2 linked regions of the Sus scrofa genome follow. The protein of the gene in region 2 interacts with the protein of the main gene of each other region in a pairwise test. Links are inferred from orthologs where the notes say so. Each region holds a gene or a part of one and is shown on either strand. Other genes may lie near its edges.

The links. The genes of interacting proteins can lie anywhere in the genome.
Region 1: the proteins of PNMA5 (region 2) and ZMYND19 interact in binary tests that used the Homo sapiens proteins (3 or more experiments, as listed by UniProt). The two-hybrid records come from large-scale screens. The link is inferred for Sus scrofa from reciprocal best matches to the Homo sapiens genes PNMA5 and ZMYND19.

What each region holds. Positions count from the first base shown.
Region 1 is NW_018084833.1:413,279-420,374, reverse strand, and holds the end of ZMYND19 (zinc finger MYND domain-containing protein 19), read right to left. Parts: intron 3,481-7,096; coding exon 3,300-3,480; intron 3,071-3,299; coding exon 2,927-3,070; 3' UTR 2,529-2,926; downstream 1-2,528. UniProt on the Homo sapiens protein: May be involved as a regulatory molecule in GPR24/MCH-R1 signaling.
Region 2 is NC_010461.5:123,996,540-124,004,190, reverse strand, and holds PNMA5 (paraneoplastic antigen-like protein 5), read right to left. Parts: upstream 5,257-7,651; 5' UTR 5,155-5,256; coding exon 3,844-5,154; 3' UTR 2,990-3,843; downstream 1-2,989.

The sequences.
Region 1 (7,096 bases), on a different chromosome or scaffold from region 2:
CCTGACATTCAGGGAGCCGTTCAAGGTCTGACCCAAAGGCCTGCGCCAGGGCTGCCCTCCCTGTCACCCCGGGAGCTCCCCTAGTGCTGCACCGGTGGACGCAGACCTGCCAGCCAGGACAGCAGAGAAAGGAGATGGGGCCGCCCAGAGGGCCGCAGGCAGGAGTGGCAGGTATGAGGATGAGCAGAGGGCATGGGGAAGAGCCAAGGTCTGGACCCCAGGGGCAGGATGTAAGGCAGGGGAGCCAGCACAGCCACAATCTGATTGGAAACTGATGATGTGCTGACACCAATCAAAAAAAAAAAAAAAAATTTCCGTGACTCCACAGAACAAGTTTGGAGCAGGTAAGTGCTGGATATTGCTATGGACTGAGTAGCATCCCCCTAAAAGCTGTTAAAGTCCTATCCAATAATACGTAGAAAGTGTCCTTTGGAAACAGGGTCCTTGCGTAGGTAACCCATTTCAAATGAGGCCATTAGGGTGGCCCTAATCCAATATGACTGACGTCCTTATGAAGGAGACTGTTAGGGACAGACGCCCACAGATGGAAGACAATGCCAGGGCATCTACAAGGTAATGCCCCCTGTGACTGCCAGAAACTAGGAGCCTGTAACACACCCCTAGAGCCCTTGGAAGGCGCACGGTCCTAGAGACTTCTGGCTCTCAGAATCAAGACCACACAGCGGCTTCTGTTTTAAGGTAGTTTGTGATACTTTGTTATGGCAGCTCCAGGAAATGGGACTGGAATCCACATGGATCCTTGGGTAATCAGCCTGTGGTTTTGAAGTGGTTTCCACAGCTGGCAATACAGATTTGAGTCAGCAGGTCAGATGCAGCTGAAGCAAGGAAGCAGAAAAGGTTGATCGGGGAGCAAGAGGCCGTCCTGGATTTGGTCCGGTACCAGTGAAGTCAAGCATCCCCAACCAGCACATTCCAAACAGATGGGAAACAAACTCCATGTTTCAGCCATATGAATGGATGCTGAGCTTCCAAACATTTTGAGATGTGTGGCTATAAAGATCAAGAGGTGGAGGCCATCAGAAGAGAAACCAGGGGCTGGACATCAGATAAAGGACAAAGAAAACAAATGGGAATTGAATGTGTGGACCTCGGGGCACCTTCCGAGTGCATCCACTCCAGTTGCTGCAGCGACAGCAATGGAGGGAAACCCCAGGACCCCATGGCCACCATCCCTGCTCCAGCATGGGATGCAATACCATCAGGCAAGGGACAGCCACCAGCTACAGCACCAGTCCTGTGGCCCCAAGTGAAGGCTCTTCCAAATGTGCCACAAGCCATGGGAGAAAGTGACCAGGGGTCAGAACCCAGTGTGTTGTCCACTAGGTCAGCTGAAACCCTCCCACTTCCCTTTCAATGCAATTTTCCAATGACCAGCTGGCCACAAAACAATTCACGCTGGCCAGAGAATGCAGACAGGCCAGAGTGTCGACCTGGCTACTCCCCAAAGGACACAGGCAAGATACAACCTGTGATCTGGGGCCTCCTCATCCCAGGAGCCTACGAAGGCAGGCTCCCATGCCTGGAAGCTCACCCAAACGGACACAGGTCCCCTCACCCCAACATCCCTGCCCAGAGCTGGCCTCAGGAAGCAGGAGTTGGCCCGGCTCTGGGAACATCCCAAGGGCTCAGGGCCGCTGCTGCCCGTAGGGCTCTCGGGATCCCACATATCTTCCTGACAGTTCTGAGCCCCCATTACTGCCCCACCTGGGCCTGGAGGTACCTAGCGCAGACCTCACCCGTGCAGAAGAGGCCCTGCCCGGGAAGACGCACAGCTGACTCGCACAGACAGCAGCAAAGTCTTCTCAGCAGAAACGCATGTGGGGCAGGTGGAGTTTCTCCAACTACAGAAAACCCTCCCTCGGGGTTAGGACTGAGGCTCCCCTCCAGCTCCTGGCATGTTGCTGTCTCCTGTTTCGCCAGCCTGTTCCCCAGGAGGACTCCAAGCTCTGCAGAAACTACCAAAAGCTCAGCTCATGGACCACAGGCTACCAAGGGGGCTGGCCTCAGCCAGGGAAGCAAGAACACACAGGGGATTCTGAAGATGGCAGAAGAGCTGCAAAAGGGGAAGTGTGGCAGGGGCCTGCGGGACCCACGTGGTGCCTGGCATGGCCCTCGATGGATGACCACAGCTGGCATGCCCAGCCTTCACTCTCCCTGCAAACCTGTAAGTTCCAGTCCATACAGCCTGGCTCTTGGCCCCCAGATGGCCATGCAAGGTGTACAAGATGCTGCCCAGTGCTCAGTGTTCTGTGGCTTCCAGGAAGGAGAGGGAGGCCTGGCCTGGGGGCCACGGCCCAGGCCAGGAAACAGCAAAGCTGTTGGCAGAGGCCCCACCTTGAGCCCCGACGCCCGCGCTTCTTGAGTCAAAGCGAGAGGGCACCAGTGGTGGCTGAGAAGAGTGCCGACCTCGGCAGCCACCCCCAGGCCTGGCCACAGCACAGGCTCCAGCCACACCCACGTCCACGGACGACCGGGGAGGAGGCGAGCAGAGAAGGGCACAGTCAGGGTCCCGGGTGTCCCACCCTTTACTTTGCCTTGTGCCAGGTCCCAGGCAGGCCGCCCTCCTCGACCCGGCTACCCGGAGAATTTGAGTGTTACAGCAAATGACACTATTTGTAATTTCTAACCCTGCCACGGCCTCCCCCCAGAAAAACTGTACATGAGTTTACAAACATATTAACATATAAATAATGAGAACTGTCCCTGCGGAGCCTCCCAGCGGTCTCTGCTCCAGCTCCAGGCGAGCGCGGGGGCGGGGCGGGGGCGGGGCCAGTGGCGCGGGGGCGGGGCTGGGCGGCTCCTCCAGTAGCTCTGGTCCAGCCATCAGCCTGGTCCACACCTCCCCGCGGAGATCCAGACACCGCGGCATCTCGGGCCTGAGGCGGCTCTGCTGCCCGGTCATCGGTCATCGCTCCGGCTCAAGCTCGTGCTGGAAGGGGCGCTTCTTCTCCCGACAGTGCTTCTTGTGCGCGGGCCAGTCCTTCTGCTGGCACTGGGAGCCACAGTAGCGCGCCACCTGGCAGCGCCCACAGATGTTGAACTCCCGGAGCTGAAAGGACACACAGGTCACGCTGGGGAGTCGGCTGTGGGGCACAGACTACGCGAGGACCCGGCAACCCCTGCACTGGGTGGAAGGGCCTGGGCCCCGGTCAGGCGGCGACAAAGGGACAGCCACCACAGCCGGGAAGCTGCAAAAGGGCAGCTCTAGGAGAGGCCTGGGGTCTGTAGGGACCAGACCCCGGGCAGGGCTGGGGCGGCCGGAGCCAGCTGCAGCGCACCTGCTTCTCAATCATCGTGCAGGGAGGGTAATGGCACTCGTAGTAGGTACAGGACGTCTCCTCCTCTTCCACCACGTCCCCGTTGGCATTGTAGTACCGGGTCACGTTCAGGACAGGGAACTGCTCCTCTATGGGGTCCGTGGGAAGCTGCTGAATCGCGAGCCAGTATAAGCTTTGCTCCCTTAAAGAGAGAGGCAGACGCGTCAGTACTCTTTGGCCAGAAAGAGCTGAGGCACGGAGGTGACAAGGACTGACTCCAGGGATGGACAAGAGGCTTGCTCATCTCAGGATGCCTCCCCCACATTCTGATTGGCAGCCCGACCTTCCTCTGGCCCACCCCGACGCCGGGACTTACTTCTCTGTAACCTCAACCGCAAAAAGGTACAGGGCAGGGCTGTGTCTGCCTCGCTGGTCAATCACCCCCACCCCTCGGACAGCCAGGCACACAACAGGTATGTAGATCATGTGGTCTCAGCCCCAGGCCCAGCCAAGCCTGCGCCCCCTGAGCAAGGCCAGGCAGCCTCTCTCCCTGCTGGTGGCCGCAAGAGCACTGGCCTCTGCACCTGGCTAAGCCGCCTCTGCTTCGGTGCCGCGTGCGGCTCTACATCTAACCGTGCATCTTGCTGGAGGAGCTCGAAGGTCACAACCGAAAAACTCTGCCTGATGCTCAAACTGAGGTGCCTGCACAGGCCTCGCAACAGGTACAGGAGAGGGGGGCAAACCCCAGGGAGGGAGCAGCTGGCCTTCCAAGGAAGCAGCACCCGCACCGTGATGGCCAAGGACCGGGTGAACCATCCCCTGCCCACCCTCCCTGGTGGCCAAGCCTGGAGGGACCTGGTTAAAAAGGAAGGGTCGCCCTCTTCGAACATCGCATACAAAAATGAACTCAGAATAGACTGAGGACCTAACAAAGACTCCAACTATAAAACACTCAGAAACATCAGACAAAGCTTCATGACGTCGGCTTTGGCAATGATCTTGGATATGACACCAAAGGCACAGCAAGGAAAGAAAAAGTAGACACAAGGAGTCCGTGAAAAATCCAAAAGTTCTGTGTATCGAAAGGCAATCAAAGGAGTTCCCTTCATGGCTCAGTGGTTAACGAACCCAACTAGGATCCACGAGGATGCAGGTTTGGTCCCTGGCCTCACTCTGTGGGTTAAGGATCCAGCGTTGCTGTGAGCTGTGGTGCAGGCTGCAGACACGGCTTGGATCTGGCATTGCTGTGGCTGTGGTGTAGGGAACTTTCATGTCGCAGGTGCAGCCCTTTAAAAAAAAAAAAAAAAAAAAAAAAGGCAACCAATAGGCTGAAAAGGCGACCTACACAATGGGAGGGGGGAATCATCTGCACATCATCTAGCTGATGAGAGACTCAAGTCTAGAATATATAAAGAACTCTACAACTCAATTAAAACCTAAAAGTTTCCTGGTGGCACCGTGGATCCGGTGTTGTCACTGCTGTAGCACAGGTTCTATCCCTGGCCCCGAAACTTCTGCATGCTGCAGGTGTGGCAAATAAATAAATAAATAAGTAAAAATGGGTAGGAATTCCCACATAGTGCACCAGGATTGGAGCATCTCTGCAGCACTAGGACACAGGTTCAATCCCTGGCCCGGCACAGTGGGTTGCCAGAGTTGCAGCTCAGACCTGATCCTGGCCTAGGAGCTCCATGTGCTGCGCAGCGGCCAAAAAAGAAAAAAATGCTCAGCATCACTGATCATCAGTCAAATGCAGGTCAAAACTATGGGGCGTTCCCCGGTGGCACAGGGACTGAGGATCTGCCATCATCACTGCTGTGGCTCAGGTCACTGCTGTGGCGTGGGTTTGATCCCTGGCCTCGAAACTTCCACGTGCCACCGCATAACCAAAACACAGTAAAAAAAACTCCCCAATGAGACCACCCGACACTCAGGAGATGGCTACTAGCAACTGAACAGAAAGCAAGTGTTGGCGAGGATGTGGAGACACTGGAGCCTCTGCACCGCCGGAGGGAAGTGAAACAGTGCAGATGCCTGGGAAAGCAGCACGGGGGCTCCTCCAAACACTAAACACACAGCCATCACACGGCTCAGCAGTTCCACTTCGGGGCACACACTGAGAGAAGCAAAAGCAGGGACTCGGAAGAGCTGTTCACACAACTGTGTTCGCAGGCGCATTGTTCACAACAGCCAGGTGGTAGAAGCAACCAAGGGCCCGTGGGTGGGTGGACAAACCCAACGTGCTACTCGTCCACTGACGCAAGACTGTTCAGCCTGAGACGGAAAGGAGATTCTGACACATGCTACGCCATGGGTGAGCCTGGAGCACATGAAGGAGGCAGGGTGGAACAAGCCCGTCACTCAAGGACAAACGCCACACAAACCCACTCAGAGGAGGTCCCAAGACTGGCCAATGCATAGACCAGCGGGTGTCAGGGCCGGCCGAGGGGTGGGGACTTAGTGTTTACTGGGGACAGAGCTTCAGTCTGGGGAACGAGGGATTTCTGGAGGTGGAGAGTGATGGCTGCACAGCAATGTGGGTGTGCTTAACGCTACGGACTTAAAATGGTTCAAAAGAAAATATTACATGTATTTTCCCACAATAAAAACATCTCTTAAAGAAAAGGATGAGTCAGGATGTGGGAGAATGACAACTTTCTGAGCTCTTCAATCAAGTTCTGCACGACAGGCGTGTCTCAGTCCCAGCCAGCTCCTAGAGGCATCGGGGGAAGCTGCGCCCCGGTGGGGCAGCCATCAGGGCCCCCCTGAAGCGTCACTGGGGAGGCAGGGCCGCAGCTACGGGCCTAGGAGGGGCTGAGGTGCTGAACCCCACCTCACAGATGGGACGCTGACGAGAGCTGCCACAGAGGCCACTGGATGAGAGATGGAAGGACACGCCAGGCCAAGGGGAGCTCAGGCCACACTCGCCTGCGGCCGGCTCTGCCCCGACAGACGTGCTGAGGAGCTGAACCCCAGCTTGCAAACCAAAGGTAACCCCACCCCTGGGCACTCAGCTCCTGGGACAACCAGCAGGCAGGAGCCTCGGGATGGCCCTGGGCTGCCCGTGAGTGGCCTGGAAGGAGGATGGGACAGCTGGGGTGGAACCTCTGCCTAACGGGTCCCCTTGTCTCACAACACACGGAGCTCAGATGCACGAATGCAACCCTCGGCCACGGGTCATGGGGAGACCTGCCCGAGATGACAGGCTCCACAGCCCAGAGAGTCCAGGAAGAGGCAGACCCATTGCTGGAGGAAGGGTAGGCAGTGCCCCTCCCGTGTCTGCAGTGGGAACCTCACGGACTCAGAGAGGGTCCTGTGCGCGTGCCGGGTGACCCGGGGGATCCAGAGCGGAGCTGCCTGCTGAGCCGCCCTCATTCTGTTGATGAAAGAACCCTCCTGTCCCCAGCATGGAAGCAGAAAGGAGACTCAAAACGATCCAACTGGAGTTGATCCCAGCTTGTCCTCGGCTGAGGAGAGCGGGCACGTGGCTCTGGCAGCTGCTCCTGAGACCTGCAGGAGGCGCCAGGGCTTTCTACATCCCGCGGGGAACCCGCACGCTCCTGCTGTGCTTCAGCCAAATGAGACTCAAGTTTCTGTCACTTGCAGACAGAGGCTAGGCTAACACAGTCCCCCAGAGGATGGGAGTCCTGACTCAACTGTAAAAAAGGGCCAGCCTTGCTCAAGAACAGCATGAGGGGGCCTTGGGGCCGTACTCTAGGAAACACGGACCTGGAGGCCTGGAGACGCCTCCTGCCCCCCTCGCAGAGTCACGGACGGCCCTCCAGGCCTGCAGCAGCCTTCTTCGCCCTGTGGCCTTC
Region 2 (7,651 bases):
GGAGACTACAGTGCTCTCTCTCAAGCGATATGCATGGCTGTCTCTTGAGGGTATTTGAGAGGGCAGCTCATGGCTGTTGATGTTGCCGCTGCTGAGAGCCCCGGCAAAAGTGCAGCTCCTCTCATGTGGAGCAAGGCAGAGCTGTTCCTCCAGACCCCAGCCTGCCCAAAGGATATCTGCCATTGTCCCCCACTATCTACTGCCATCAGCCCATCCAGTACCTGTCTGGAGGACAGAGGCATTTCTACCCTTTCCTCCTCTTTTTTATAGTATCCTTTGATGCACAAAAGTTTTAAATTTTAATCCAATTTATCTATTTTTAAAAATTCATCTATTTTTATCTTGTTTTCTTGGGCTTTTGGTGTCATATATAAGAAACTATTGCCTAAACCAAGGTCACAAAGATTTATTCCTATGTTTTCTTCCATTTTATAGTTCGAGCTCTTACATTTAGGTGTTTGATATGGTTTATTTTTATATAGGGTGTGAAATAAGTGTTCAAATTCATTGTTTTACATGTCAATATCGAAATAGCTTTACATGTCAATATCGAAATAGCCTCTGCAGCACTTGTTTAAAAACTATTCTTTCCTCATGAAAGATCTTAGCACACCTTGTCAAAAATCAGTTGACCATCGGCCCTACAGTGAGACTTCAGGGAAATTTCTTAACAATCTGCTGCTTTACAGGATTACAAGGCTCAAGGAAATTTCACCATTGTCAGCAAGAAACCGAGGAAGAAGCAGGGAAGCTGGAGGTGCTAATGGCCAAATTGCTGATGGGCAGGACGCCGGTGGCCAGGGACAGCGGCCTAAGGCTTGAGAGGCAGGCCTGCTCCAGACTCCACAGGGCACGGGTGGGGGACAGGGGGGCAGGTTTATAGGAAGATGTGGGTGTGAGCAGGGCTGCGCCCAAATGATGGGGGCATCAAGCGAGGAATTCCTCACACACTCTCACACGCACACACGCACTCACACCTGCCACAGGTACACACTGAATGATGAGAGACACGGGATCAGCCCCCTGCTGTCCCCTCTCCTCCTGTCTTGCCGGCCAGATGCTCAGGGACTGGTGGGAAGGGGGCCCAGCAGAGATGCGCCTGGGCTGGGACCTTGGCTGAGGACGGCAGCAGAGCGGGGCCACCTGGGGCCTCACTCCATCCTGCCCTACACCGCGTGGGGCACATCCAAGGGTCCCCGCAACAAGGCACCAACCCATTGGACCGAGGAGGCTACAGGCCTGGCTCTCCTGCCCTCCTTCCCCAGACCCCTGCAGGGAGGGGCCCGATGGCTCAGGTCATTCCAGGTCCAAAGTCGCCGAGTCACTAAAAGGCAGATGGAGAGCACGCACAGCGCCCCCATCCCGCCTCTCCCAGGACACAGGGCTGGTGCAGGGGACGGAGTGGGACAGGAAGGGGGTGCCCCTGGGTGAGCAAGCATCCCCCACCCCCCCACCCCAGAGTCCTGTGTCATGCTCCCGTCAGGGCTTTCTGACCTCACGCCTGGACCCATCTGTGACTGGTCCTGGGGATTGACTCCCTGAACCCACTGGGTCCTGCCTGCTGTCCCCCCCTCCAACGTCTAACACACATATTTCTGGGGGCTCCCTGAGTTTCCCAGGGACCCACCAGCCACGGCCTGTGCTCACAAGTCCCTGCCGCCCGGCTCCATCCAGGCCAGGGAACCCCACAGACCTTCTTGGACCCTGCCTGGACCACACCCCAGTGCCCACTGGGGATACCAGCCCACTGGTGCCTCCCTCCGCCCCCACCCCCTTCCATTGCCCACAGCAGAGGCAGACTCAGCGGAAACTGTCCGTGAAATTTATTGATGAGAAGCATTGACTGAAACCATTGAGGACAGAGAGTGACAACACAGAGAACAACTTCAAACAGCCGCTGGAGCCCACAGGTCCCACTGCCCACCCCCGGTCCCCAACTCAGTGCCTCAGGAGCAACCCCCACTGTGACCCTCCCTTGCCCCATGGTCTCCTTCCTGAGGGCCCCGCGGGCGGCCTCTCGCCAGGACGATGGACCCCAGCAATGTCCCCTCCCCCCAGGATGCCCCCTCCGCCTCTGACCCACAGCAGGACACGCTCCACCACGCCAAGGAAACTGAGTCACGAGGAGAGACGGGCTGGAACCGCAGGACACAGTGGAGCCTCCCGAAGTCCCCGCCGGCCACGGGTGGTCCAGGTCTTCCTTCTGCAGGTCACGTGGTGGGCGCTGGCCTCGCCCTCGTCCATCCTGTCCTTCCCACTGTCTCCCGGGACTGGGCCGGGGGAGCTACTCAGAGAAGGACACAGGCACATCCCCACAAGGACGCATGGCGGCGGGGGCCTACATCTACGCCCAGAAAGCAGACAGTGAGCTCGGGACACGGGACCACAGCAAGCAGAGCCTTGGCTGGCGCTGAAGCTCAGGCCACCTGGCAGGGCCCCGAGGTGGCTGCCTGGGTGGGCGGGGGACACCTGGCCAGGGCTCAGGGGCACCTCAGGGCTCTGCAGGGGAACCAAGGTCAGTGCGTGTTTGGAGGGGAGGGGAGCAGGGAGCGGGGTGCCTTGATACGTGGGTCACGAGGGGCTACAGAGACACAGGTGGGCTCCCAGCACAGGGAGGCCCAGGCACCTTGACACGGCCCCTAAGGTCTCCGGGGCCAGTGTGGGTGGCAGGCGTCTTCGGGTGCCCCTCACCTAGGCTGGCTGCCTGGGTTGCAGGCTTTGGGGCTGACTTTGGCATAGGCAGCTGGTGAGTGGTGATTTGCCAGGCCAGTCCCAGGTCTCCAGCGGCACAGACATCAAACCGAACCAAACGCCCCTCCCTCCCACCCACCAATCCTCTCTCCTCCTTCCCGTCTCCTCCCCTCCTTGTCCCTCCTCCTCTTTCTACATCCTCCTCCCTCTTCTTCCTTCTCCTCCTGCATCTTCTCCTCCACTCTCCCACCCCTCCTCTTCCTCCTCCCCGTCCTCTTTCCCCGCCCTCTCCCTCCTGCTCCTGCTTGGGAACTAAAGTTTCCTTGCGCTTGCACACCCACTCGCACCAAAGCAGCTGTGCCCACTAGGGTACCCTGCACCCTGCCTCTCAAGCTGAGCCTCTGACACGGAGACCTTCTCCGCACAGACTTTGCTGACCTTGTCCCCACAGCCCTTCCAGCTTAAGGGGGAGGAGGCTGCCTGTAGGCTGGTGCTGGGCTCCCAGGGCCTCTGGGTCTCCTCCCCTCACTTGCGCAGAGGCTCCAGGGTGCTGCCTTCCTGGGGCTCCCCTAGAGCGGTGTAGATGATCCTGAAGACGGGCTGGACCCTGCGGGCTCCCCTCCGGGGCATCTCTTCTCCGCCCCACAGCTCTTCCTCACCAGCGCTGGCTCCTTCCAGAAGGGCTGGCCCCGGGGGAGGCTCCCCTGGGCCCCACATGGCCTGGGGGCCCATCAGCTTCATCAGCTCAGAGCCTACCCTCTGGGCATTAAGGAGTGGCCAGATGCCAGGGTCCATGCCGGAGCCCCCCACCACACCTTCTTCAGCCTCTTCTGCCTTGGGGTCTCTCTCCGAGGCTTGGCCACCCCACCTGCCGAGTGTGCTGGCCCCCTGCTTGCATTGCCAGTGCCTCTCCCAGGCCCTGTGCTGACTGGCCCTCACTGGGCTGCATGGGGCTTGGTTGGTAGAGCCCCTCTGAGCTGGCAGAAGACAAGGGGGCTCGGCCTGGGCCTGGCTGCCCTGCCACTCTCTCCCCCTCAAGTCCCCCGCTCTTGGTGTGGGCTGCTCCTTCATCTCATTAAAATATTTTAGTTGCCTGCTAGGGGAAGGGGTGCCTGGAGTACTGAGCCTACGCTTCCTAGGGCTCGGGGTGGCTCATTGCCCCAGCCCCCATCTCGTTTCCCGACTCTGCTGCTGCAAACTGAGGCTTCTGTTTGCTGGAGCTTGGTTCTCCACGCTAGGACATGCTGCCTGGCTGTGGCCTCCCTCCCCACTACCGTAGCAGCATGACATGCGCCTGCGCTTCAGGGACAGGCTAATCCCTTCCTGGATGGTCTGAGTGCTGCTCTCGTTAAAGGGCCCCGTCTGCACCACGACCTGAGGCATTGGGACACTGGCTTCCACCAGCACCGGCCTGCCGGAGGCCCTGCGGCCCCTCCCCACTTGCCTCTCCTTCGTCAGGCCCATGGTGGCCTCCCACTCCTCTTCATCTCGAATGACCTGCATTAACTCGAGGAAAGTGGGAGCACGACCTCGCTGATCCAGGAGCTCTAACTTGGCCCGGAGGCTGGTGCTCATGCAGGACCGAGCCAGGATGTGTTTCAGGCGAATCATGTCTGTGCTTCTCACGGACAAGGGGCTATTTTGCACGGCTTTCTGCAGCAGGGGCTCTAACCGTAGCAAAAAACTAGAGATTTTCTCTCCCGATTTCTGGAAGGTCTGGAGGAACTTAAATTGTGAGGTTCTGCAGTCCTCTTTAGTCCCAAAAATTTGCTTCAGGGCGTCCAGACACTGCTCCACGGTCATAGATTCATCATTGGCCCGGAGCACCCGCACGACAGATAGGGCAGAGCCGCGAAGGCTCTCCAGCAGACGGCGCCTCTTCTCGACCTCTGACACCTGCCAGAGTTGCATCAACTCAGTGACGTGCTCCAGCCAGCCTTCAAAGCTGTCTTCGTCTGGGCCTGGGAAAGTGCTTCCCGAAAACACTCTGAGTTTTCGGTACCACACATTTTCTTTCAGAGGCTGCAAGGCTGGTGACCTGACCTGATCCGAGGCCTCTGGCTCCATGCCCTCAGTGGGAGTGCTATATCCCAGGGTCTTGGCCACATCTACCATTCTCCGGCCCTCGTCTTTCAGGAAGTAGTTGAGTCTATTCATAAACTCATCATCTGAGCTGCGGGGTTTCACAACCACTTCCCAGGCACCTCCCTTTCCTGGTATCTCTCTGGGAATCATAGCATAATTGACAGTATCAGCCAACTCAATGAAAACTGCCTTAGCATTATCTTCCCTTCTGAACATTCTGCCCAGCACCCTGTAGGTGCACAGGGGATGTAAGCCTGCCTTCACGGTCTCTTTAATTTCAGCCTCACTGCACTCCACGGGGATCCCCACAATCAGCAGGGCCTTCCTGGGGTCCAGGTCCATCCCCTTGCACCAATCCTCCAACAGTGTCACAGCCATTGCTCCCACTTTCTATGAACTGATCTAATACCAGGTGCAGGGACCAGCTCACAGAGTTTGATCAGGACTCAGGCAAGTCAAGGCCAAATATGAAGGCAGAATCGTCCTGGGTTTCCACAGCCTATAATGTGAATGGGGTGAGAGCATCATTAATGGCCACCCTCCCATCCCCACCAAAAGCCCCTCCTCTGCCCCCACTTCCACTCACAGAACCTCATTCTCTGCCTCACAGGGCTCCCCCAGTCATTTGGTGGAGGGGTCTCTGCAGGCCAAGCTCCCCCCACCTCACTCTTTCCCTGCTGACCTCTGCTTGCCGTGGGTTCGTCCTCAAAGTCCGAAGACCCTACTGTCTGTGCTGGAAGTGCCTGCAGTGAAAAATCCAGCCTCAGGAGGTGGGGCCTAATGCCTGGGAACACTTTCAAAGCTCTCCAACTAGGAGAAGACCAGAGGCTGTCCCACTCCCTGGCTCGGGGCTGTGCAGGCCCAGGGCACCTGGTACCCTTACTGCTGGGGCAAAGTTTAGAGGACAGAGATGTGGCGTTCCCTCCTTTCTCAGGATATGCCTGACAAAGGAGAAAGATGGCTGGAGCGCTGCACAGGGCATTGAAGCTGGTGGGTATGGAGAACGTGTGACAAGCTGCAGTGTTGCCATGGATGAAGCATGTGGACTACGGGTTTCACAGGGGGTGTCATGCGGAAAGGCTAAGGAGCAACAGGTGATGTCACTGGCCTCCAACCCATGAAGAGGGAGGGGAATGGGGGGGGGTGGGCAGCAAGGATCAAGTACTGAAAAAGAACTTAGTTTCAAACTGTGTAGAAGCTAGAAGCAAGGACAGAAAAGGGACTCCAAAAGGGTCTCCAGTACCACACCGTAGGAAACAGACAATGCTCACCCTGGCTTTGACCTTACTCTGCCAGACCCTTGGCAGGCAGGCAACCCCGCCCCTCCTGCTTTTCATCAGGGTTACAGAAGCCTCTGCAACACAGGCCCACCTCCCAGCTATTTACCATCTGATTAGGGACCCATTCACAGTGCAGATGAGGGGATTTCACCCGCACTCAACACTAGGCCTGCCCTGGGGATCTGGCCAGTCAGGCAGTTTCTGGTCCTGGGGTGGTGGGTACTGCTTCACTGGATCTGTCCAAGGCCAAGCACAGGTATTTTGCTATGGTTCTGGCTGACATGCTGCTGCTCTGCCTATGCCAATTCTATATACAGAGGTGCCCACAAGTATTCTGGTACTGGAATACAAGAAACTGCTCAACTGGTACTCAGTGCTAGGGCAGGTTATTACCTTTCCTCAGTTCCACCCGGATCTCAAACTCACTGCCAAGTCCCACTCCTACTGAGGCACAAACTCCATCTTAAGCTCCACCCCACCTAAGCTCAACCCCTCACACCAAGCCCCACCGCCACGGAAGTTAGACCCCTGCTCCCACCAACTCTCATTTCTTCCCATGTCCCATCCCCACCCCAGCCCCACCCCCGTGACACCAAGCCCCACCCCCATGGCAGTTAGATCCCTGCTCCCACCAATTCCCATCTCTTCCCATGTCCCATCCCCCACCCAGCCCCACCCCTCACCCCAAGCCCCACCCCCACGGAAGTTAAACCCCTGCCCCCACCAACTCCCATCTCTTCCCATGTCCCATCCCCCACCCCAGCCCCACCCCCGTGACACCAAGCCCACCCCCATGGCAGTTAGATCCCTGCTCCCACCAATTCCCATCTCTTCCCATGTCCCATCCCCCACCCAGCCCCACCCCTCACCCCAAGCCCCACCCCCACGGAAGTTAGACCCCTGCCCCCACCAACTCCCATCTCTTCCCATGTCCCATCCCCCACCCCAGCCCCACCCCCGTGACACCAAGCCCCATCCCCACGGAAGTTAGATCCCTGCCCCCACCAACTCTCATCTCCTCCCATGTCCCATCCCCCACCCAGCCCCACCCCTCACCCCAAGCCCACCCCCACGGAAGTTAGATCCCTACGCCAACAAGTCCCACCCCTTCCCATGTCCCATCCGCAACTCAAGTCCTATCTCTAAAGAAGCGCAGTACCCAGCCTGGCCCAATAACTGCTGCCACTCAAACCACATCCTTTCGAAAGCCCTGCCACCACGCAAGTCCAACTACTGTCCCCAGAACTCCCACCCTCATTCCCCCGTCCTCCCCACCCACACCTAGGCCCACCCCAGTAAGTCCCCCCACCCCTTCACACACCCACTACCTCAAATACCCCTCATTCCAGAGCAGGAATATATCTAGTCAGTGAAAGTTGGTGAAGTCCAGGAGAAGGGCTGAAGCCACTTTCCCTCCAGAGAAGCTCAGAGCCTGTCCCAAATGCAACGGCTGTGGACAGGATTAGCTGTAGAATAGGCTCCCCTGTAATTCCTAGGCTGGTTGCAGTGCCTGGAAATGGCACGGAAATGGTGGGGGTGCCAGGCCTGATCTAGTAGGATCACGCTTCCAGGGGAAACCTATAGCCACCAGCCTC